4 linked regions of the Schizosaccharomyces pombe genome follow. Changing the gene in region 4 together with the main gene of any one other region gives a genetic interaction. Each region holds a gene or a part of one and is shown on either strand. Other genes may lie near its edges. The genes, in order: atg13, aru1, car1 and arg1.

What was found.
Region 1: mutations in arg1 (region 4) and atg13 impair growth when combined (synthetic growth defect), as found in Schizosaccharomyces pombe (one study listed by BioGRID).
Region 2: mutations in arg1 (region 4) and aru1 impair growth when combined (synthetic growth defect), as found in Schizosaccharomyces pombe (one study listed by BioGRID).
Region 3: mutations in arg1 (region 4) and car1 impair growth when combined (synthetic growth defect), as found in Schizosaccharomyces pombe (one study listed by BioGRID).

The regions. Positions count from the first base shown.
Region 1 is NC_003424.3:4,839,211-4,845,754, forward strand, and holds atg13 (autophagy-associated protein kinase regulatory subunit Atg13), read right to left. Parts: upstream 4,394-6,544; 5' UTR 4,235-4,393; coding exon 4,100-4,234; intron 4,022-4,099; coding exon 3,926-4,021; intron 3,682-3,925; coding exon 1,636-3,681; 3' UTR 1,275-1,635; downstream 1-1,274. Other genes in the region: BUD22 family ribosome small subunit biogenesis protein, read left to right, coding at 1-1,070; protein mug126, read left to right, coding at 5,645-6,544. UniProt on the Schizosaccharomyces pombe protein: Component of the atg1 kinase complex that activates the atg1 kinase in a nutritional condition dependent manner through the TOR pathway, leading to autophagy.
Region 2 is NC_003424.3:1,941,228-1,946,201, reverse strand, and holds aru1 (arginase Aru1), read right to left. Parts: upstream 2,024-4,974; 5' UTR 1,972-2,023; coding exon 1,000-1,971; 3' UTR 834-999; downstream 1-833. Other genes in the region: SPOM_SPAC3H1.08C (uncharacterized protein), read left to right, coding at 101-309, 350-776; SPOM_SPAC3H1.06C (transporter), read left to right, coding at 3,416-4,974.
Region 3 is NC_003423.3:322,733-327,681, forward strand, and holds car1 (arginase Car1), read right to left. Parts: upstream 2,499-4,949; 5' UTR 2,431-2,498; coding exon 1,459-2,430; 3' UTR 1,212-1,458; downstream 1-1,211.
Region 4 is NC_003421.2:1,611,697-1,617,402, reverse strand, and holds arg1 (acetylornithine aminotransferase), read left to right. Parts: upstream 1-2,466; 5' UTR 2,467-2,505; coding exon 2,506-2,577; exon of another isoform or gene 2,578-2,605; intron 2,606-2,825; coding exon 2,826-4,079; 3' UTR 4,080-4,356; downstream 4,357-5,706. Other genes in the region: SPOM_SPCC777.12C (ER stress response thioredoxin family membrane disulfide oxidoreductase), read left to right, coding at 1-193; protein Gta3, read right to left, coding at 354-740; NEDD8-conjugating enzyme Ubc12, read left to right, coding at 1,285-1,375, 1,442-1,537, 1,620-1,708, 1,820-1,967, 2,215-2,324; Protor homolog, Bit61, read left to right, coding at 4,839-5,706.

The sequences.
Region 1 (6,544 bases), on a different chromosome or scaffold from region 4:
AAATATCACAGGCATTGAAAAAGGCATCTACCTTTGAACGGCAAAAGCTTGTACGAAGAATTAAAAATTGTAGAGCCAGTGAAGATGCTGATACTCTTGGCCGTTTTGAGGCAGAATTTGAATTTGCCAAACAATTTGACTTCACCAAATTTGTTGATTATTGCTATTATAAAAAAATCCTTAAAAACAAGGATTTTCGGAAGTTACTGAACGAAAATCTTCATGTTGATTTTCCTGCAGATTTGACTGAGGATGCTCAGAGAAATACCGTTGCTAGAATTTTAAATTCCAAGCAATTATCTGATGCCATTCGAAACATCAACTCAATACTCGAAAAGTATCTTCGTTTCTTAAACCCCGATTTACAAGAGTTGTCAGATAAAAAGGCTGTGTCTTCTACCCAAAAACCCATTAAGACCATCGGAAAAGTAGATTTGTCAAACAAATCAACTTCTAATCAAGACCAAGTGGATAATACCCATGTTCAAAATAGCACCGATGGCGTTAATCAAGATACTGGTATGATTTTGGATAATACTGAGGACAAAGAAATCAACAAGTCTATGTCATATTCTATGAAAAATGAAGGTGTAAAAGAATCATCTCTTCAAAATGCTACTTTAATAAACAGGAAGTCTATAATTGATGATGAGATGTTGGAAATTCCTCTGGGCAAACATAACAATACTAATCTGCCTGCCCTTACAGCGGGCTTCTTAGATCCAGTCGAAAGTGATGATGAATTTGTCGAAAAGGAGTTAGAAGAAGTAGATATCCCGAAGCGTAAAAATCGTCGTGGTCAAAGAGCTAGACAAGCTATTTGGGAAAAAAAGTATGGTAAAGGTGCTAACCATTTGATAAAAAAAGCGACTGAAGAAAGGAGTATTCGTGAAGAAAGACAGAGAAAGTATGAAGAAAGGCAAGCTAAACGTGCTGCTCGTGAAAATGCTTTTACGGAGCACCAAACACCTCAAAAACCAGAGCAACTGCATCCCTCTTGGGAGGCTAAAAGGAAACAAAAAATGCCTTCTAGTGCAGCATTCCAGGGTAAAAAAATAGTTTTTGACTAATCTTAAACATTCCAATTTATAAAATAGTAGTGCTTTTTTTCGATATTCAGGAAGTAAGAAACATCCTCTTTTTTTCAAAACAATGGTAAAACATCATAGCGTTTTACATTGCTCAAATCGCAGCTAGAAGATTGTATTAATATCTTGAAACTGTATACGTTGCTAATATTTTATACACAGAATAAACAGAGCTAACAAATTACTATTATTCATGATGTTTCTGTTGCTAACTAGTAAATTTAAATTTTCAATAACTGTGATTTTTTAAATTATTAGAAACTAAATTACAATTTCAATTAATACCTACACTAGCTAGATAAACAGTATATGTAGATACTAATCATGGTAAATGTGAAAAGTACAGTCAGACATTATGAGTATTTTCAATCGCTGCCCAAAGCTCATGAATTGAGGCGAATATTGCGAAATTCACTTGTATGGAACGAAGCTTAATTGAAGCTATAATGCAGCTGAAAAAAACTATTAAAAAATTAAAAGAAAACAAGAATGGTTGAGTGCATTAAATGGATGCTATATCACTCCAAATTCTAAACATAGGCTTCGCTTAATCATCGGATTTGGGAGAACCAAGCCTAATAGCTGAAACATCATGGGGTTCAAGAGTCATATCAGTCATTGTGAACAATAAATCATCATCATAATTGGGGTTATGCTCATTGTAATATTCGTAAGTAGGTGTTGAAGGAGTAAGACATTGACGTCGTTCTTCAGAAAGATTATCAAAGTGCTTTTTGTACTCTTGTGGGATTCCCGGCTCAAGTACAAAAGAAGGGCTGGGCGTCTTTGTTGCTTGTAGGCTTGCTGGCGTTGATGAATGTTCCAGTGATTTGGATAAGCTGGTGTGATATTCGAAACGCGGAAGTCCAGCAGAAGTAGCCGATCTAGCACAAATTGGTGATTGACTTTTCCGCATATCGTGAAGAGATGCTAGTTGCTTTGAAGTATCGTTTGCTGATGGTACTTCAGTTTGAGTATGAGGAATAACAGTGCTTGGAGACCGGTTATCTCCTTGGAACGTGGAAGCTTGTGAAATGGATGTCAGGGGAGCAGGGAAGGTAGATTTTTCAGAGAAGGAAGGCCGAGATCGCAGCGTACCTAAAGTGTGATGGCGCATGATGCTATGGCTAGAATTTCCAAGATTATGCTTCACAGCCTCAGTAAAACGGGATCCGCTATTATCAATTGAATGATTATAGGTATCGATGTCAAAAATTTCATTGCTACTACCCAAGGAATTATGAGGGTGAGCAACTGGCGAAATTCCAGATGTCAAAGTTTGTACCTTCCCTGGAAATGAACCACTTGATTTGCTACCTTCCGAAGCATTTAAATGATGTGCATGACTATCTAATAGTTGAATAAAACCGCTAAGATCATCCTTTGATGCAAATTCACTATCATAAACAGCATGCTCAGAATGATCTGTTATAGGATTCTCTGAGACGTTATGTTTGAAAATGCTACGAATAGGATGATTGACTAGCGGTAAACGATTACGAGAGCTAAAGCTTTCTTTACGCTCGCGGGGACCGAAACTACTGCTAAATCGTCGAAGATTCGGGGTATTGGAAATGTCAAGTGTGTTAAGCTTAAGACTTCCAGATGTAAGAGGTGGCAATTTTGCTCTTGATTTGCTTGCAGCATCAGAAATCATTGAAAATTTATTTAAAGAGGTGGCTGATGGTCCGCGATGTATATAACGATTGACTGCAACCTTCGGAGAAATTGACATATTGTCAAAATTTGACCCTGGGGAAGCAGATAATGACGGAGATTTGAAAGGATGTATAGTAACAAGAGGAGCTGCTTGAGCTGTTATAGACTCAATGCTAGCTAAATGTTGGATTTCAGATTGTAAAAGAGAATTCGGATCCGACTGCTTAGCTAACCGCGTTGCAAAAGAAGGAGGTGGTTGATCATACTGTTTGCCATCTTCAAAATCTTGAGAATTGTTCGAAGCAGCAAGTTGATGCTTGTCTGCAGATAACAACTGGTTAGAGAGTAACGCATCAGAATCATGAACCTCAAAATGACAATTTTTACGATACTGAACAGATATGCGAAAATCTCCAGCTGGTGTACCAACAGGGCTGAAAGAGAAAGTTGCAATACTGCTTCCGAGCGAGGATGAAATTGGAGCACTTATAGGAAGGAAATCATTCGATAAAACATCATCCGTAGAGAGGGCACAGCCAACTTTTAAAGATGTACCATGAGCTCTTAATTTGTGTATTTTCGACTTCAATTTCCACAGAGGCATAAGATGGGTATAAGTGTAGAGGGAACGAAATAAAACAACTAACTTTTTGTACAAAACAGCCAACTCCAGAGGGGTTGATAAGGCTTCGCCATCTAAATTCACAATCCATCTTTCAAGTACGATTTTCATTGTCGACATATTATTAAAGTTGATTGCGTGAGAATGAGTACCATCGGAAACAGAAAGGGTTTGATTTTTTGATAAATCAGATATATCTAAATATGTGTGCAAAACCATTGGAGGTATTTTTCGTGAAGGAGAAAGTTCAATATTCTTCCAAATTTTGAATTGCTCGGCATAAAGCTCAGTTTCAACAATTTCCAAATTGAACTACATTTTGTTAATTAAGTGCAAATATGAATTTTTTAATTATTTGTAATTCCACATTTATACATCAATAGTACAGTGATCAACTTATTCACCTGTAGCTTAAAAATGAAACTCTATGCAGACGCACGAGATGAACGTAAACTGATAAGTAATTGATAAATAATCTTGAGTTTTTTGAAAACCACTGTATGAATAAAGCGCATAACACCGATACTCGTCATTGTAGAAAAACAAAAATACATACCCATTTGTTATTCTTAGAACTTTCTCGAGGACGAGAGGTCCCAAATACATTTAGTCTGGATTCCAAAATTATTAATCCGGTTTTATAAAAACAATGCTATTTGTAAATGTTAATACTTTTCAAGTAAAGGATGGGTGGACCTCAAGCAAGCTTATGATACACACTTTAACTTACGTGAATGACTTGGCCCAGCTTAGCGCTCCTACCACCCACTGATGATAGATCTTTATTTAACTCAGTTGAAACTGCTTTACTATGCCCAGGGGGAGCAGAATACATTCGAGGAAGCTGCGTATTAAGTCTCGGCATATCAATGTGGTTTCCATTAATTCAATTGCAACTTCAAAGTATAAATTATTAATTTTTTAATGTAACAATTTGATTGTTAGCTCATTCTTTAAATTGATAAAGCAGTTTTTAATTAGTTTTCCTAATTGAATGAATTTGGTTTTGCAGTTCGTATTTGGTAAGGCAGAGTATTGTAGTAAGCGGCAAAAGATACTACAGATGCCATGCTCCAACGAAGCACGGTAAATATTAGCGTTGCGTTAAATACGATTTCTTTCGATCACGTTATAAGACAAATGGTAGCTATATTTAAAGGCTCTTTAAACTGCGGTGAATCTTGTTTTGTGAGCTATTATTTTGGAATATAAAGGGATTATGTGCAACAGTGCTGCAAGTAGTCTTGTTGAAGGGAACAATTTAAATTCACAATAAATGGAGCATAACCTACAACAAGTAATTAAGTAATCTGAGTTTTATTTGATTTATGATTCCCTTAATCCGAAAAAACTTCGGACATAAACATACAATTTTCGAAAATTGTCAATAAATGGATATTAACCGTTTTTTTTTATTGCACAACAAATGATGATACGTAATGTATTGCTAAATGTAGGAAATGTTTGTTGACAGCCGCTAAATATTCGCTATTTTAAAACCCAAATACACAAACATCGCTTATGGAAAACAAACAATAATGTCGATTTATGTTGGCTGAGTGTACGGTAATTATTAACTAATTAAAATCATTTACAAGCACTAGCTTATTGATTTAGGATGCATTCTCTATCACTTTTGTGAAAGTTAAATGTAAAACCCTCAGTATTATCATGTTTGAAGCGATGCAACTGATGTTAAAGGTAATGGTCATGATTTTAACCCGAAGTTAAAAGGATATTACTGACTTCTAAGAGCTCTTAGTTTTAATAAAATGCTCATTTTTTTGGCAGTACTAAGTTTTGCAAGCTTAGGTTTGCTCAGCCCTTTTCGTTTTTAAAAAAAAAAAGGAATTAAATTATGTGGTAGTACTAAAATACCTTGAATTTCGTACTCTGGTTTACCAACGATATAAGGAGTCATAAAGAAACGAGACTTTAATTAATTTTTGTTTTTGCTATTAAATTGCAGATGCCATAAGTCATGATGCTGCGATGTTTTCATCATCAATTGTCAAAATGTTATATATTCTTTACATTCCAAATCACCAAGATTAAAATACTACTTTTTGAAGTTTCAAATTTGTTGGTTACAAGGTGTTTCTATTTTTTTTAGAAATCCAATATAATCGCTTGGCTTTAATTGTACTGCTGCTATTTGTTTTTATTTAGAAGTCTTCATTTTTCGGTTCCCCAATTATAAATTATCTGACTGTTGAAAACAGATTTACTGCTTCAATATTAACAATAATTAATAAGATAGAGATAAGTTGAAGAAATGGGAGAAATGCTTAACGAGAATACATCATCAACATCATTGTCGTCTTTTTACGTTTTGGAAAATGAAACCATTTTCAACGTGCAAGAAGAAATGGAGGAAGATGGTTCAGAATCTGGAAATATTCAGAAGACCTTACTAGAGGATCCGTGTCCGGAAAATGTCAATGACGAAAATGAAGATGAACAGAATAGATCTTCTAGATCGTCAAGTCCACTTGTGAAGCATGAACAGAGACATAGAATGTATAACTTGAAGGAAGTAATCAAATCATTCATTCTTACAAAGTCAAAAGAAAAACCATGCGACCTGGAGATGGGAATTGATTCAATTGAAATGGGAAGAATGCAAAGCTTTGAAAGTGATCAACAGGAATCTCACACTGGTCAAGCGAACTTTCCAACTGACCAGGAGGATCCTCGAAATCCTCAATTAGACTCTCAATATGAAGCTTTCATTACTCAAGGGGAATCACAAACGGACAAAAAGAAAACTTCGACAGTTCAAGAGGAGGAGCTTCAGAATGCTGGGAAAAAATTGGAGACTGTTCAAGAAAACCCTCAAGCTTATTCAAAGGTCACCCAACAGGAGCCACAGGCTGGTCAAAAAGCTGTACCCCAGGAACCACAAGCTAATCAACAGGAGACTTCGAGCAATCAAGAGGAATCATCATTTGATCGACAGGAAACTCAAGATGACAAGCAAAAACCGAAGACTACTCAACAGGAACATTATAATCTTCGAAATAGAAATCAGGCGACAATCACAAACAGCAACTCAAAACCTCAGACACGCCGTTCAAAAATATTTGTCATTTCCTTACTTGGATACGGAGTCTACTTGCTAGCCTTTCTTGATTTAATTGAATATGTTTCAAAGGAATACGGGTTTGAAGCAACA
Region 2 (4,974 bases), on a different chromosome or scaffold from region 4:
CTGCTTCTTTAACATAATTTACTTTTTTTGACGTATCTTTTCTCAAATCGCCCATGAATATTGAATCGTTCCTTAGAATTTACAAATAAAAAAGGAACAAATGATTATTCGGAAACAAATTTTCCCATTTCTAAGTCAAAATAGACCTTGGACGATTATTAATAGAATCCAATCCGAAAGATATTCTGCATCTTATGAACCAAGCCCTGAATTGCTTAAACAGTCTTCCAGAAGACTAGAGCAGGCTGGTTATTCTGTAAAAAATGCAGAAACAATTACTAATTTGATGAGGACCATTACTGGAGAGGCGTAAGTAAAAAGTTTAAGAGCTTTCCAACTAACGTTATAGGCTTACAGAGTTAGAGAAAAATATAGGATTTAAAGCTAAGCAGGAATCTGTGTCGTTCCAGCAAAAAAGAACATTTTTACAAATTCGGAAGTATTTGGAGACGATTGAGGAAAATGAATTTGATAAAGTTAGGAAAAGCTCTGATAAACTTATTAACGAAATTGAAAAAACCAAGAGTTCTCTCCGCGAAGACGTTAAAACCGCTTTGTCTGAAGTCAGATTGAATTTAAACCTTGAAAAAGGACGTATGAAAGATGCCGCAACGTCTAGAAACACAAATATTCACGAAAATGAAACGAAAATTCTCAATGAAGTGGATATTTTACACAAAGAAATTAATGACATGAAAATACAAACCAATCAATGGTTCACCGGTTTCGTTGGAGTCGTATCCTCCGTTGTACTGATTATTTTGTTTTACTTTTAGTGATTATCCTTAATAAAAATGTTTACGTGATAATATGCTTTTACTCAACTTCAGTAATCAGATCAAAAAACTTGTTAATACCTAAGTCAATTCTATTTAAACGGTTAAACAATAGTAACGTTATTTATATTTTTTCCCTTAATTCCACATAAAAAGAATGCACTCTTCGTCCCGTCAGCTCATGAAAATCAATATTCGTTTTATATATTGATAAATTGTAATTTTAAAGTAAAGTTTGACCAAGACTAGTACGAACGATAGAGCGGGCCAAGTCCACCGTAGTCTTGGCCTCCTCTTCATTACCAAGTAGTGGATTAACCTCCATAACATCAACAGCAACCAATGTACCGGATTCAGCTACAGCTTCGCAGATGTACATTGCCTCACGGAAAGTCAAACCGCCTGGAACACGGGTACCAGTGGCTGGGGCAACGATGGGATCGCAAGCGTCAACATCGAAGGAAAGATGGACAGGTCGTCTCTTACCAGGATTGATGTGCTCCATCGCCATCTCAACGACACGGCCAATTCCGTATTTGTCGACGTGGTGCATGGTATAAGCGGCTATGTTACGCTCACGAAGAAAAGCGCGCTCCATAGGATCTAAATCACGCAATCCAATAAAAGCCAGACGACGCTCTTCAATAACTCTCTTGGTCCAAGCAAACTCTTCAGGGAGAGGCTCGGCGTATCCTAAAGAAAATGACAAGGGGCAACCATGAAGATTTTTAGAAGGAGAAGATTCAGGAGTGTTAATGTCAGCGTGAGCGTCAATCCACAAGACACAGGCATCATCATAAACGGCCTGCACACCCTCCACAGTACCAATGGCAAGAGAATGATCACCGCCAATGTTGACAACAACTCTTTGCTGTTCTAATTCACGTTGGACAGCATCACGAACTTGACGAGTAACATTGCTAACGTATAAAGGGTTTTTCATTAAAGCCTGGTTGGGACCCTCCTTGGAAGGACGACTTTTAAATTCGGGGTTTTGGATGAGCTTGACATCGTATCCAAGGTGTTCCAAATCATCCACAAGGCCAGCCTTTTCAACCATTTCGGGAGCCAACTCTGCACCGTCCTTGGGCTGGCCACCAGAGAAAGGCATGTTTATGATGGAAACACCATTTCCCATCATAAATCTACTTAACATCAAATGACGGTGGTTATCACTAATTTTATGAGGAGACATTTTTTTTATTTTCGAGTACTTTTCAATAAGAAGAGAAAGAATGGCATATACTAAAGACAAGTTCAAAAACGGAATGAAAATTAATATACTTGCTCTTTCTTAAGTCCGTGGAGGCCACCCAGAAATATTAGCGAATCTCATTCGCAGGTTATATCAGAGTAATTCCGCGTTGTAAAATTTTCACTAAGGTAACATGTTCTTCACCTTTATTTCACTATCTTCTTTATCTTTCTCGATAAAGGGAAGGTTCGTTCTTTGTTTAGTAGTGATATGGCAGATCTAAAGTTATCTATTTTTCTTCTTATGAATGTATTGTGAGCTAGATATGCAGGTTTTCAGGCCTCTCCTACTGCTTAAATCATGCTTAGATCCTTGGGGGTCGGGTGTTGAAATTTCAACAGTCGGAATAATCGCTTGTAACTTTGATGTTTTGCAGTAGCTGTCGTTTTTTTTTTTCTTAAAGTCTTCCTAATGGCTGTGCATTGCCCAGTTATTTTCCGATGTCCCAGTGCGATTCTTAAACTAAAAGAACGTTTTAATATCGAGTTTCAATACAAAGGGAAATTTGTATAATAGTTCATACGTTACATACTACTTGCATACTTATAGCAACTATAGCTTTATTTTTACTGCTTTCTTTTATCATCTCTTTTGCAGGTTAACGTTAGCTCTTTTTTGTTTAACCATTATAGTATTGCATTGCTTCTAGGTTTCTCCTAAGAAACTTGCTTAAAGATTGAATACTGAAATTTGCTTTGTTTATAGTCAAATCAAAATACCTCATTTTTTGTAAATTTTTTCAGTCAACCTAACAATCAATAATAGTCTGTCTCTTCGCTACTGTCACTTTACGATCGAACTCAGCTCGTTCACACTATGCAGCATCGTTGTTTCTCTCTTTCTGTTTACTGAACCTTACTGCATGTTCTAAAATTTGTTTAATTGTGGCTGTTCCAAACAAAAGTGTATACGGAGTTATCATTCAGAAATCATGCCAAAGTCATAGTCAGGATGCTCAAATACTCATCCCTTTGATGCTCAACTAGGGTTGCCTTTGTCTTTGTGCACTTCCTTTATACTGTTGTGCATGGACTTTATCTATGTGCTGCCACTAGGCATTCTAGTTCAGCCTGATGCGTGCTTCCTCGGAATCTCCTATCTTTGTAAATCGTCAAAAAGTTCCATTGTAAATTAATATAACAATGCGTCCGTTTCCATTTAAAAACTATTCAAGCACTATAGCTGCTATGTGAATGTTGTTTTTCATCCTTTAATTTCTTCATTTGTTATATTTCTAATCAAGAGTGTCATTATATTGCATTACTTTAATTTTTCTTGCATTCCTTACTATTTTCTTTTTGAATTTTACTTCATTTCGTTTTGCATTTTGTAATTGTGAACCCCTTTCTTTACAATTGCATTTGTCTCTCAGCTCCAAGATATTATGAACCCTTCGTCTTCTCCAAATCGTAGCTTGAATCCGACTAGAGGATTGAATCTCTATAGCACAGGGAATGAGGTAACATGGTTCTCTTCCACCGTTGATGAGGTGAACGAGCTAAAGCCTGCAAAATCAAAAGCCTTTTCTATTTCAGCCCAAGATCAAATTTATGGTACTAGTTCTCTAAAGTCTCGGTTTTCAACCCATGAAGCATCGTCTGAGAAAGATGATTCTTCCGATTTCACCCTCGTGTTGCCCTCCAATCGAATGTACATCGTTATTCCAGGACTTATGTTGTCGATTTTCCTGTCCGCCTTGGACCAAACTGTCATTACTACAGCTATTCCCACTATTGTAGCAAATCTCGATGGCGGTTCATCGTATTCGTGGATTGGTACTGCTTATACTTTGGCTCAAACTTCAATTCTTCCATTTTGTGGTATCATGAGTGAAGTAGTCGGTAGGAAAATTGTCCTCTATACTTCCATTGTTCTTTTCCTCTTCGGTAGTGCCATGTGTGGTGCTGCCCAAAATATGCTTTGGCTTGTACTATGCCGTGCTGTGCAGGGCATCGGCGGTGGAGGCATTACATCTCTAGTTACAATCGTTATAGCTGACATTACTCCTTTACAGACTAGACCTTACTACACAGGTTGTATGGGAGTCACCTGGGGCCTTGCTTCTGTCATGGGTCCTTTAATCGGTGGTGCAATTTCGCAAAAGGCTAGTTGGCGGTGGATTTTCTTCATTAATCTACCTACTGGTGGTCTTTCGCTCGCACTTTTGATTTTTTTCCTCAATCTTGTACCCAAGCCTACAGTTTCGTTTCGCGTGTTTTTACGTGATTTTGACTTTGTGGGCATTATTACCATTACGACTGGTGTTGTGTTGTTTTTAGTTGGTTTGAATATTGGATCTACAACAGGTCATTGGGCCCATGCCAATGTCTTGTGCTATTTAATTTTTGGTATCCTGTGCATTGCCGGTTTTGTTGTCAATGAATTCTATACTACCCGTACTAGAATTATTACTCCCTCGGCATTTAAAACGCTCTCTTTAACATCTGTAATGGTAACATCCTTTTTACATTATTATATTGTCTCAACAATTACTTACTACATCCCAGTATACTTCCAAAACATTAAAGGTGACGGGCCCTTGATGTCTGGCGTTCACACATTATCTCTAGCGGTTGTATCCTCACTTCTTTCTGCTGTTAGTGGTATGGGAATAGGAAAGTTGAAAAATTATCGATATCCAATGATTGGAGGATGGATAGTTTTATTAGCTGGTACCGGTAGTATGATTGCGATATATTATAACACGGACATATCACGTACCATGGGATTCTTGGCTTTGACAGCAGTCGGAACTGGAAATCTATTTCAACCAAATCTCATTGCTGTTCAAGCTTCTGTACCTCCTGCTTTGATAGCGACTTCCTGTTCTGCATTTATGCTGCTAAGAAATATGGGTGCATCTGTGGGAATATCGATGGGAGCGGTAATCTATGATCAGCAACTAACGACACTTTTAAAAGGAACGAAGTATTCTGCAGGGCT
Region 3 (4,949 bases), on a different chromosome or scaffold from region 4:
TTCCCTTAAAAATGATTGAGGGTTAAAAGCTGGGAATGAGAGTTGCTAGTAATTTATACGGTTAATTAATTATATACAAAAAAATCACCGAATGATCGTTTTTTTAAAAAAGACACAGCACTTTGGAAAACAGGCCTTTTCACCACTGTGGCATATTGGTAAATTTCATATTAATTCTGCTCAATTAATACACCGGTAAATCAGTTCGATGAAATGATAACGATCTTGTCTATGATTAGTTTGATCATGGGACAAGCATAGATAAGATATTTGTTAATCTGAGAAATAAATTAGTGACTCGATGGATTTCCTTAATCTTCATATCGTAAATGAAGGAGGAGCCAACATAATTTTAACGAGGTTCGTTAAATGAAACTATAGATTTGCGGACTTGGTTTATATTATTATTCATTATTAATATAGAAATTGAATAGAATACGAGAATTCCCTTGCGTATGGTATTATTTATTATTCCAAGTTAAATTGCTTGTTGAATTTTTAATCCATAAATTATATCCAATAACATCTGGCAATATCGAGTTATCGATGTTTGTTCAGGAGGACTGATATCAAATAACAATTCATTTGTCAGCGATGACAAACAGTTGTATCAATATGATATTGTTAATATTTATTAATGGAAAAGTAAAAATGATAAAGATCTTTTTTCGGATTGATGGCTCGTCGCACTTGTCAAGTATATAAGCAAAAATAGATAAGATACAAACGATGGCTGTTATGCATCCGTGGGTGAAAGTGAAAGAAAAACAAATTATTAATTCTTACCACGGAGGAAAAATCTAAAAAGGTATCAAAAATAAGGACGATGGTTATCTTTTTTTCGTTGTATGATGGAAATTGACAATATTTTTTTTTTTACAGTTATTTTTCTCGTTCATTAGCTAGCGCTGACAGAAACTATTAGTACCTCAAAGTTATTTTTTTTAATATTATGGTAATGGTATTGGGGTTCAAATTTTAAATTTCAATTAGTGGGAAAATTCGAATAGAAAATTTCATTTTTGTTAAGACATTATGAAAAATTTGAATTACAAGGAGGAAAAAAACGGTTTATGGTTGGTAAAAAAATATTTTGACGCTTCATAAATGTACTAAAAGACCATCAGTTTAATTGAAAGAGTAGTAAAAGAATTACTTAATTGAAAGTTAATATTGGTCATAATTATAATATTTAGTCAACAGTCTAAAGCATACATTTCGGGTTCTTAGCACCTAAGCAATTCAATTCATGTGAAAAAGTAAAATTCTTTCTTAAATAGTCTAGTCAAGTATCTGAGAACCAAACAGTAACTTTGCCCAAGTTTGTCGGTACAGTGTCTGAATTATGAGATTTTGAGTTTATTAATATACTTGTGTGTTGGGACGTTGAAAAAGCACAGTAGCTAATCCGACGCGTAACATACTTCTAATTCATGATATAGCATAAAATACATGGTTCTACAATAACGTTTGACCAAGACAAGTTCGAACAATAGAGCGAGCTAAATCCACAGTTGTCTTGGCTTCCTCTTTGTTGCCTAAAAGTGGGTTAACTTCCATAACATCAACAGCAACTAGAGAGCCAGTTTCTGCAACACTTTCACAAATGTACATTGCTTCACGAAAGGTCAAACCGCCTGGCACACGGGTTCCAGTAGCTGGAGCGACAATTGGATCACAGGCATCGACGTCAAAAGAAAGATGAATGGGACGTCTCCTTCCTGGATTGATGTGTTCCAATGCCATTTCTACTACTCTGGCTATTCCATATTTATCAACATCGTGCATAGTGTAAGCAGTGATGCTGCGTTCACGAAGAAAAGCACGTTCCATAGGATCCAAATCGCGCAAACCGATGAACGCAAGACGACGCTCTTCAATTACTCTTCTTGTCCAAGCAAACTCTTCAGGAAGAGGTTCGGCATATCCCAAGGAAAAGGACAATGGGCAGCCATGAAGATTCTTTGAAGGGGATGAATCGGGGGTATTAATATCAGCATGGGCATCAATCCACAAGACACAAGCATCATCGTAGACAGCTTGTACACCTTCAACAGTGCCAATGGCAAGTGAATGATCTCCTCCAATGTTGACCGCGATCCTTTGCTTCTCTAGTTCCTGTTGAACAATATTACGAACTTGGCGAGTAACATTGCTAACGTAGAGTGGGTTTTTCATGAGGGCTTGATTAGGGCCTTCTTTTAAAGGTCGACTTTTAAATTTGGGATTTTGAACGACGTTGACACTATAACCAAGACGCTCCAAGTCTTCAGGCAATCCAGCCGCCTCAATCATTTCTGGAGCCAATTCAGCACCGTCCTTGGGTTGACCGCCTGAAAATGGCATATTTATGATAGAGACGGCATTTCCCTCCATGTATCTACTAGACATAATATGTCTATGTACTTCGGGTATTTTATGAGGAGACATTGTATATATTTTTGATTCAGTCAGGTAGAAACGATGTTGTGTATAGCAAAGGACCCTTTGAAGTAGATGGGAGGTTGCGAAATTTATGGAATTCCGTTTTTCATGCCGATGACGGCTTTAATAAATAGTGAGCGTTTGCTTACTCAATAGTCTTTGAGTATTTTATCTACCGGCCGTTATCAGATCTTGCGGGCAATCATATTAGACTCATCAACCTAAAAACGGGATATTAATTCCACGGACTCAACATTTCTATACTCCGTAACGATAGCTCGGTTCACTATTATTAAAAAAAAAAATAAATAAATAAATAAAATAAATCAAACGAAATGAAATAAAGCAAAGAAAATAAATTAAATAAAAATAAAGTAATTCAAGAAAGGAAAAAATCACACTATGGAAAATTAATAGAAATAGGACGTAAAATCATAATATACACCCAACCCCTCTGGGAATATTTTCCATAGCCATTTTTTGAAACAAGTCATATTTACCATGGAACGGAAAAGATCGAAACTAAGCTACGGAATTCCATGGGTCAAGTGACTTATTTTCGGAATTGTATTGTATTATAGCATGATAGATGAAATTTTATTCAGACGGTAGTTTGTTTTGTATTTACAAGTTTAATATGGAGAATATCTGATGAATAACTTATATTTTTTGAACATTGTAACCAAAAAAGAAAAAGAAAAAGAAATAAAAAAATTTATTAAATTGATTGAATATTTTGTAACGATTATTGTAACATTGGTATAGGAGGAATATAAAAATGTTGGTTTTTAAATGAGTAAAGGATAAAAATTAATTTAACTAGCAACAATATCGCCAAGATTAGCAAGCGAGTTTAAGAAGCTATTAAAGCTATAATTGACGTTGTGCTAAAAGGTGTTGTAATGTTATCAGTTTAAGGAAAATGTATATATCTTTTTGTCAAGTTTAACTATGTTTTTATTAAAAATAACAAAATTTATAATTTCTACTGGTGTGCTGCTGACCTCTGCTCGATTTCCTTAATTTGTAATAATTTTTAAGGTATAAATTTTGCAACTTAATTATCTCTCTCAGTAACGCATCAGTGGTGTAGCGGTAACATCAATGCCTTCCAAGCATTAGCTCCGGGTTCGACTCCCGGTTGATGCATCGATTAAATTTTTGATTTTGTATTGGAATCGATTTTTATATTTTTTAGTTTTTTTTTTGTTCAACGAGTAAACAATGCTTATGATGATCAAAGGAAAGCATGCTTCTTTTAGCAATAATTTGAAAAAGGGTGAGACTTAATTTCGGTCATTAATCCGCCGTGGATAGCATGGATATAACTAGATTATTATCACCCATATGCGTTTGGCAACTATTAGGTGAAAAGTATTTAATGTTTATTTTCATCCTCAGGATTTCAAGTTATTAAAATCTGTTATAATAAGTTCATCATTCAAATTAAGAAAATTCAAACAATTAGTAACTGATCGAAAAACAAAAAACGTAAAGCTCCCGGCGGGACTCGAACCCACAATCCCTTGATTAGAAGTCAAATGCCCTAGCCATTAGGCCACGGGAGCAACGTGATTTATTTAAGTATTAGCAGTATATATTGTAATTGCAAATATGTATCAAACCATCATAATTTCATAAAAAACCGAAAGGGTAATGAAAATATAGAAAAAATTAGGGTTATGATCTAGCTAAATAAATATATCACTAGATTACTGATCAACACTAAATAAAAAAATGATCTATTGTGTTGTATACCGTCATGTCCATATTTTTATTGAAATGTCAACCGATCTATCAAAATTGACACTACATGATCTAGACATGCTGAACACGGTCTACATGCCGTGCACAAAAACAAGTAAAAAATCGAATAACACGCTGCAATTGTGTCATAAACGAGTATTCTCATGACAACGATTCATTGTTTAGAAGACAAATTTGCAGTAAGCATTTCCACATTGTTCGGTATGATAGAAACCAGTATCTAGAGATTTTTGAACCCTTAATGAACTAATGTAGATTCCGTGCATGTCCAAAACGAACAGACAAACAGTTTGTATTGGAACATCGATAGTATCCATTAATTTAATATTTTCAAATTTTTTTTTTCGTAAAAAAGAAGAAAAAAAAAAGGTATGTTTTAAGAGATGACATACTATTAAAATTTTATGATTTATAATCGATCTTGCAAACATAGTAGATTACAATAAAAGCTGCTGAACTTATAAAAGGTATCCTACATTAAAGTGCACTGATTCGTTTACGGACTTGACAATTTAAAATGTAAACTGAATTTAAAAAAAGTGAATTAAATTTTCAAAAAAAAAATAAATGAAAGATAATTATTCGACATTAAGAGGGTGGAGATGGACGCAAAAAAAAATTATTGTGAGATAATAGTCCGCTCCCCATTAAAGAAATTGTTAAGTAAGTCATGAAAGGGGGTTAACAAATGGATAACAAAAATCAAAGAAATTAATCATCAACAGACGCACGTCTATGAAAATTAAATTGAAAGTCGT
Region 4 (5,706 bases):
GCCCTTGAAGTCCTTTTACTGGGTCTTTGGAAAGGCACTTGCACTTTACGGACACTTAAGTCAAAAATACACCCCTCTTGGAATGAATGTAGCTATTTTTGGGATCTCTGCCTACATAATGTATCGCTCTAGCAAAAAAGCGAAACAAAAACAAGCCGCTGCTGCTGCCGCCGCCGCTGCAAAAAAGAAATAAGCTATGTGGAAAATACTATTAGTTTTTGATAATATCAATTTTTTGAATAATTATACGAGAGTTTGTTACATGTTCTATATGTAAGGCACCGCTCTAGTAAAGGTTTATACCCTATTTGTTTCATTCCTTCCTTTTTTAACAGAACGTAGATTTTCCAACCTTATTGCTTGTTTGGAGATTCATTAGAGGAATCATCTTTTAGCTTAGAATAAACGGCAAAGTACTGCCCGTCTCTTTTCTTAGCATTCTGAAATACATTCCACGGCTCTTGATCGGGTAATGATGGTAGAGATTCCGCATTAATAGCATGATTCAAAGTACGAAATGGTTCCTTAATGAAGGATGTATCAAGTCTCTCAATTGCATGCATTTGAATGATTCCTTCGTTGAGTTTTAGAATTGTTCTTTCATTCTCTTCCTTAGAGTCTGCTTCACGAAGACCAACGAGCCTCAGCAAATGACCATACTCAGTTAAGCCAATTGGTTTGGGTGGATTTCCTTGGAGAATTCGTTTAAGTGAAACCTTTGAAGGTTTCAAAAATGGCATAGTGAAAAGGAAAATAGAGCTAATTACAAGAGAAAAATATAGTACAGGTTAAAAAAAAGATTCAATCTTAAACACTTTGTAAGTTTTTCAAATGCTTTGAAACAGCTGTCGAAGTTGTAGTCGGTTCCTACAATTTAACGACTAGGTTGTAAGTCTGGGTTTTTTTAGAATTAATAGTAAAGGAATATATTAAATCATTCGGTAAGTAAAGTCAATATAATCAGCTTCTCTAATTAGGAGAACTATTTTTCATTACTATGATAACCGTTTCCCATTCCCTAAATTTACGACATCCTGCGATGTCTGTATATAACTTTACATAGCAGTGTTCCAGTACGTAATATTGTTGAATGCTTGCGTAGAGTAACGACTTTATTAAAATTGGTTATTGCAATTGAATAAGGTAATATAAAATGCCACATTATTAGCACTTTAGGTGTCTACATGTTTCGCTATTTTTTAATGATGTATGAGAGTATTGTTTATACCCAAAATTGTAAGCGCATTTTCCATCCTTCTGCCTATTACAAGAATCGCGTAAATCATGAGAAAAATTTGGGAATTAAAAAAGAAAGAAGCTCAAAAAGAGAAAAATGCGTCAGGGATTAGTCCAGCACAAATCCGAATCCAAAAAGGTGCGACTCATCATGTTGATAACTTTTCGCGATTTACTCGAAACTAACCATTTTCGATGAATTTAGACGTTACAGATTTAGAAATCCCATCTACGATGTCTACAAGCTGGCCAGATCCTATAAAATTGAACGTGCTACATTTAGAAATCCGGCCTGACGAAGGTAAGTTTGTGATTCCGCATGAAAGAATATTTGGTGTAGACTTTTTGAGACTATTATTTTTTATTTTGATTAACATGAAAAGGGTATTACAAGGGTGGGAAATTTAAATTTCGAATCCAAATCGACGATAATTATCCTCATGATCCTCCTAAGGTTAAATGTCTAAACAAAGTATGTCAGTCATGCTCTAAATTAGAGTTGCAGCTTATGGTATATTTTTTGCATTTAAGAAAATAACCATTATAACATGTTTTGAACCCTTTCGTTCTGACCTACTGTTAGATCTATCACCCAAATATCGATATTGAGGGAAACGTATGCCTCAATATTCTGCGTCAGGATTGGAATCCAGTGTTGAATTTGAATTCTATTTTGGTTGGATTGCAATTTTTATTCTTGTCACCAAACGCAGAAGATCCACTCAACAAAGGTAGGTTAATTACAATTTTTTGGGGGGCAATGAACTATTTCTTGTTATTGCATTACAAGGAAATGATTATTCATCTCTTAACTATCATTTGATACTCATTTTTTCTACGATCCTTTATTATGGGATTTATAAGGTTCTTTACTGAGGACAATGATTATGATAAGCAATTTTAATATAAGAAATCTGGTTTGCTCCTTAACAAATTTTCTAGATTTATTTAACTATACTAACAAACGATATCTTTTAGAGGCGGCGGCTGATTTGCATAAAGACCCTCAAGGATTTGCATCTCGTGTGCGTACAGCCATGAAAGGTGGTCTTGTGAATGGAATTTCTTTTGACAATGTCATGGCTTAATTTTTCATCAATCTAAATCAATTCGATAAAGATAACCGACATAGATTAGACGACTGTCATGAAAATATTGATGTGTTTTAAATCTCGCTAAATCAGTCACGATTACGATGAACTTCCGATATCAGTATAAAAACACATAACCAGAACCAAACCCCCCTAATAAGCCCGTAACTGCTTTACAATGTTTCAAAGACGATCACTTCTCTCTGTTCGTTCGTCTGGTTCCCAAATCGCCTTTCGTCGATTTGTCAGCGTAAGTACAAGTTTGTTGATAGAGTATGCATTGTAAGTGCAACTGAACATACGATGGCAAATAATTAGACTATCATCTAATTCTGATTGTTTTCGAGAATTCTGTACTTTGCTCTTGTTTTTAGACAAGTATTGATGTTGAGAATGCTTCTTACTGACCCAACAAAATAAATCTTCATTTGTGCTTTCATACTGCCTCATACAGTACTAATTTTAATATTTCTTAAACTGCTTATTAACCAAGTTTAGCTTACCCACAAAGATCCAACTCCTGATACAACCAGTTGCAATATTATCAAGAAGGAAGGGGCGAATATTATATCAGTTTATGCACGCTATCCAGTCGTAGCTGCTAAAGGTGAGGGCTCCTATTTGTTTGACAAGGAAGGTCGTAAATACATTGACTTCACCTCTGGCGTAGCTGTTACATCTTTGGGTCATGCTCATCCTGAAGTTGCTAGACTTGCCGCTGATCAATGCTCCAAATTAGTCCATAGTAGCAACCTTTTCTACAACGAGCCTGCCATTGAGCTATCTAATGTCATTAATAATTCTTTGGCAAAAAATAGCGGTATTGCTGGCCCCACAAAAATTTTCTTTGCCAATTGTGGTACTGAGGCCAATGAGACAGCCTTGAAGTTCGCTCGTAAGGCAGCGTTTGAGAAGTATGGAGAAGGGAAGAGTCAAATTGTTTACTTTAATAACTCTTTCCACGGCCGTTCTTTGGGATCTCTTAGTATCACTGCGAACCCCAAATATAAACGTGGTTTCCAACCATTACTTCCTGATGTCGTCCAAGCCGTCTATAATGACCCTGCATCCATAGAGCAATTTGTCAATGACAAAACTGCGGCTGTTATTGTCGAGCCCGTTCAAGGTGAAGGTGGTATTTGTCCTGCCAAGCCTGAATTTTTGATTGCTTTGCGCAAGGCCTGTGATAAGGTTGGTGCTTCTTTAATCTATGATGAAATTCAATGCGGACTTGGTCGCAGCGGTGATCTTTGGGCCCATAGTATCGTTAAGGATGTCGCTAGTCCCGATATTATCACAGTTGCCAAACCTTTGGCTAATGGTCTACCTATCGGCGCCACCATTGTCTCCAGTAAGATCGCTGCTGAAATTCACCCTGGTGAACATGGCAGTACTTTCGGAGGTAATCCTGTTGCTTGCCGTGTAGGCACATTCTGTGTTAATGAATTAGGGTCATCCAAGATTCTACAAAACGTTAGAAAGCAACACAAGGCTCTTACTTCACGTTTTGATGACTTTGTTGCCAAATACCCTAATCTTATTCGTGGATATGCTGGTCGTGGTCTTCTTCTTGGTTTGCAATTTACCGAGCCCCCTGCTAAATTTATTGAGCTTGCTCGTCAACAAGGTCTTTTACTCTTACCAGGTGGAAACAACAACACCCGTGTCCTTCCTAGTTTGAATGTTAAAGATGAGGTTATTGCTAAGGGTTTGGATATCATGGAGAGCACTTTGAAGGCTTTAAGTAAGTAAAAGTGTATGTTTTCGTAGACTTGGTCATTGAATGGATTGGTTATATAGTGCGATAAAAAGTGATTATTACGAGAAATCTTGTTCCTCGAAAACATATATTAACCTTGCTCTCATTTGCCAACCAAAAAATTTTTTGATAGGGGGGTTACGAAAAGCTTAGCTGGAAGCTTTACATTGTAAATACTGGTTTTCGTTATTCCCTTTCTTTTCATAATCAATTTTGTTTACATTTTTTGTTAGAAAATTAGATATATATTGTTGTTTTTCATCTACTAAACTGAATTGTCGTAATATGTACCGTAAATACTCTGTCAAATGATAGTAATTCACAAAATCAATGTTTTTTTACTGCGTTTTCTATTACTAACTTTTAAAAAGTTATATAGCAAATAACATTCCATGTTTTCTTTTAGCATTAACTATTTTTTTCTTTGGCATACAATTATTATATCAACATGCTATTCATTCAATTCACATTAGAACGATATCGTTATAAGGAATTCTTAATCAATTTTTCGTTTCTATATTTTATCTTAATTTAAGGCGCACATCGATACTTTAGCAAAATACCACCATATTCAAAAATAAACAAAATTTTTTATCTTTCTAAAAAATATCATTTTTTTAAGTAAGTTTAATCATTTTATAATGATTGAACAATGAATATCATCTCATGCTTATTTTGAAGAATCGCATTTCGCGTAACTAAAAGCAAATTTCTTGGATACCCTCAGTACATTTCCAAAAATATTACTAAAGATGGTAGGGAGGGGATCTTTTTCATCTACCTCGAGCGCCTCATCCATTAATTGGATTCCAAAAAACACTAAAACTAGCATTGAAAGTGTTTCTAACACTATTTCGTTGTCGGAAAATGGGCAGAACCAAGACTTGGAGACTGTTACTACTAAGGAATCAAACGTTGGCGACTCTGACACGACTGAAAACATTAAAAGTCCGTTTAATGGACAATGGCCATTTAGCAGAAGATCTAGTCAAAGTAGCAGTCATCCGGTTTTTGAGGAAACACATTGGAGTAAGCATTCCAAGCGCCCAGGAAAGTTGAACGTTTTAACGCCTACTAGCCCTTCTAATGTTAATGCCGAAGTTCAAAGTATTTCTACGAAAACTCAATTATCGCTGCTTAACCTCTCTCCGCATAAGCATAAAAAGCCTAAAGATGGTTTAGATCTTTCTGCTTTGCAGAAAACGCTCAACGGGTCTCGAAATTTCTTAAGAGGAAGAAGAGACGCTGGGGGAATTTTTGGCGCTTCCATCCCACAATCACTTGTTACAAATCAAATAATCAATGGCTTCGGTGCAGCCTCTCTTGCATTTGCTAAATTGGGCAAAGTTCGCTCTCCTTTAGAAGGTCGCTTTAACCTGGTTCCCATATCCGCGGATGAAACTTGGCTTATTGTGGAATCCGAAGTTTGTAGTTTATATTCGGGTGAGGCTTTGCACTATTCTCTTGAAGATTTGAATGGAATTCTTATATTACATTTACAAGCTCTTATCCGTGATACGAAGATGAATGAGTTTGTTGGACACTTGGAGACACTATTCCGTAAGGCTACCAAGTGCCTTTCGGACAGTTTATCGCCTGTTCCAGAAGAATTATTTTTGA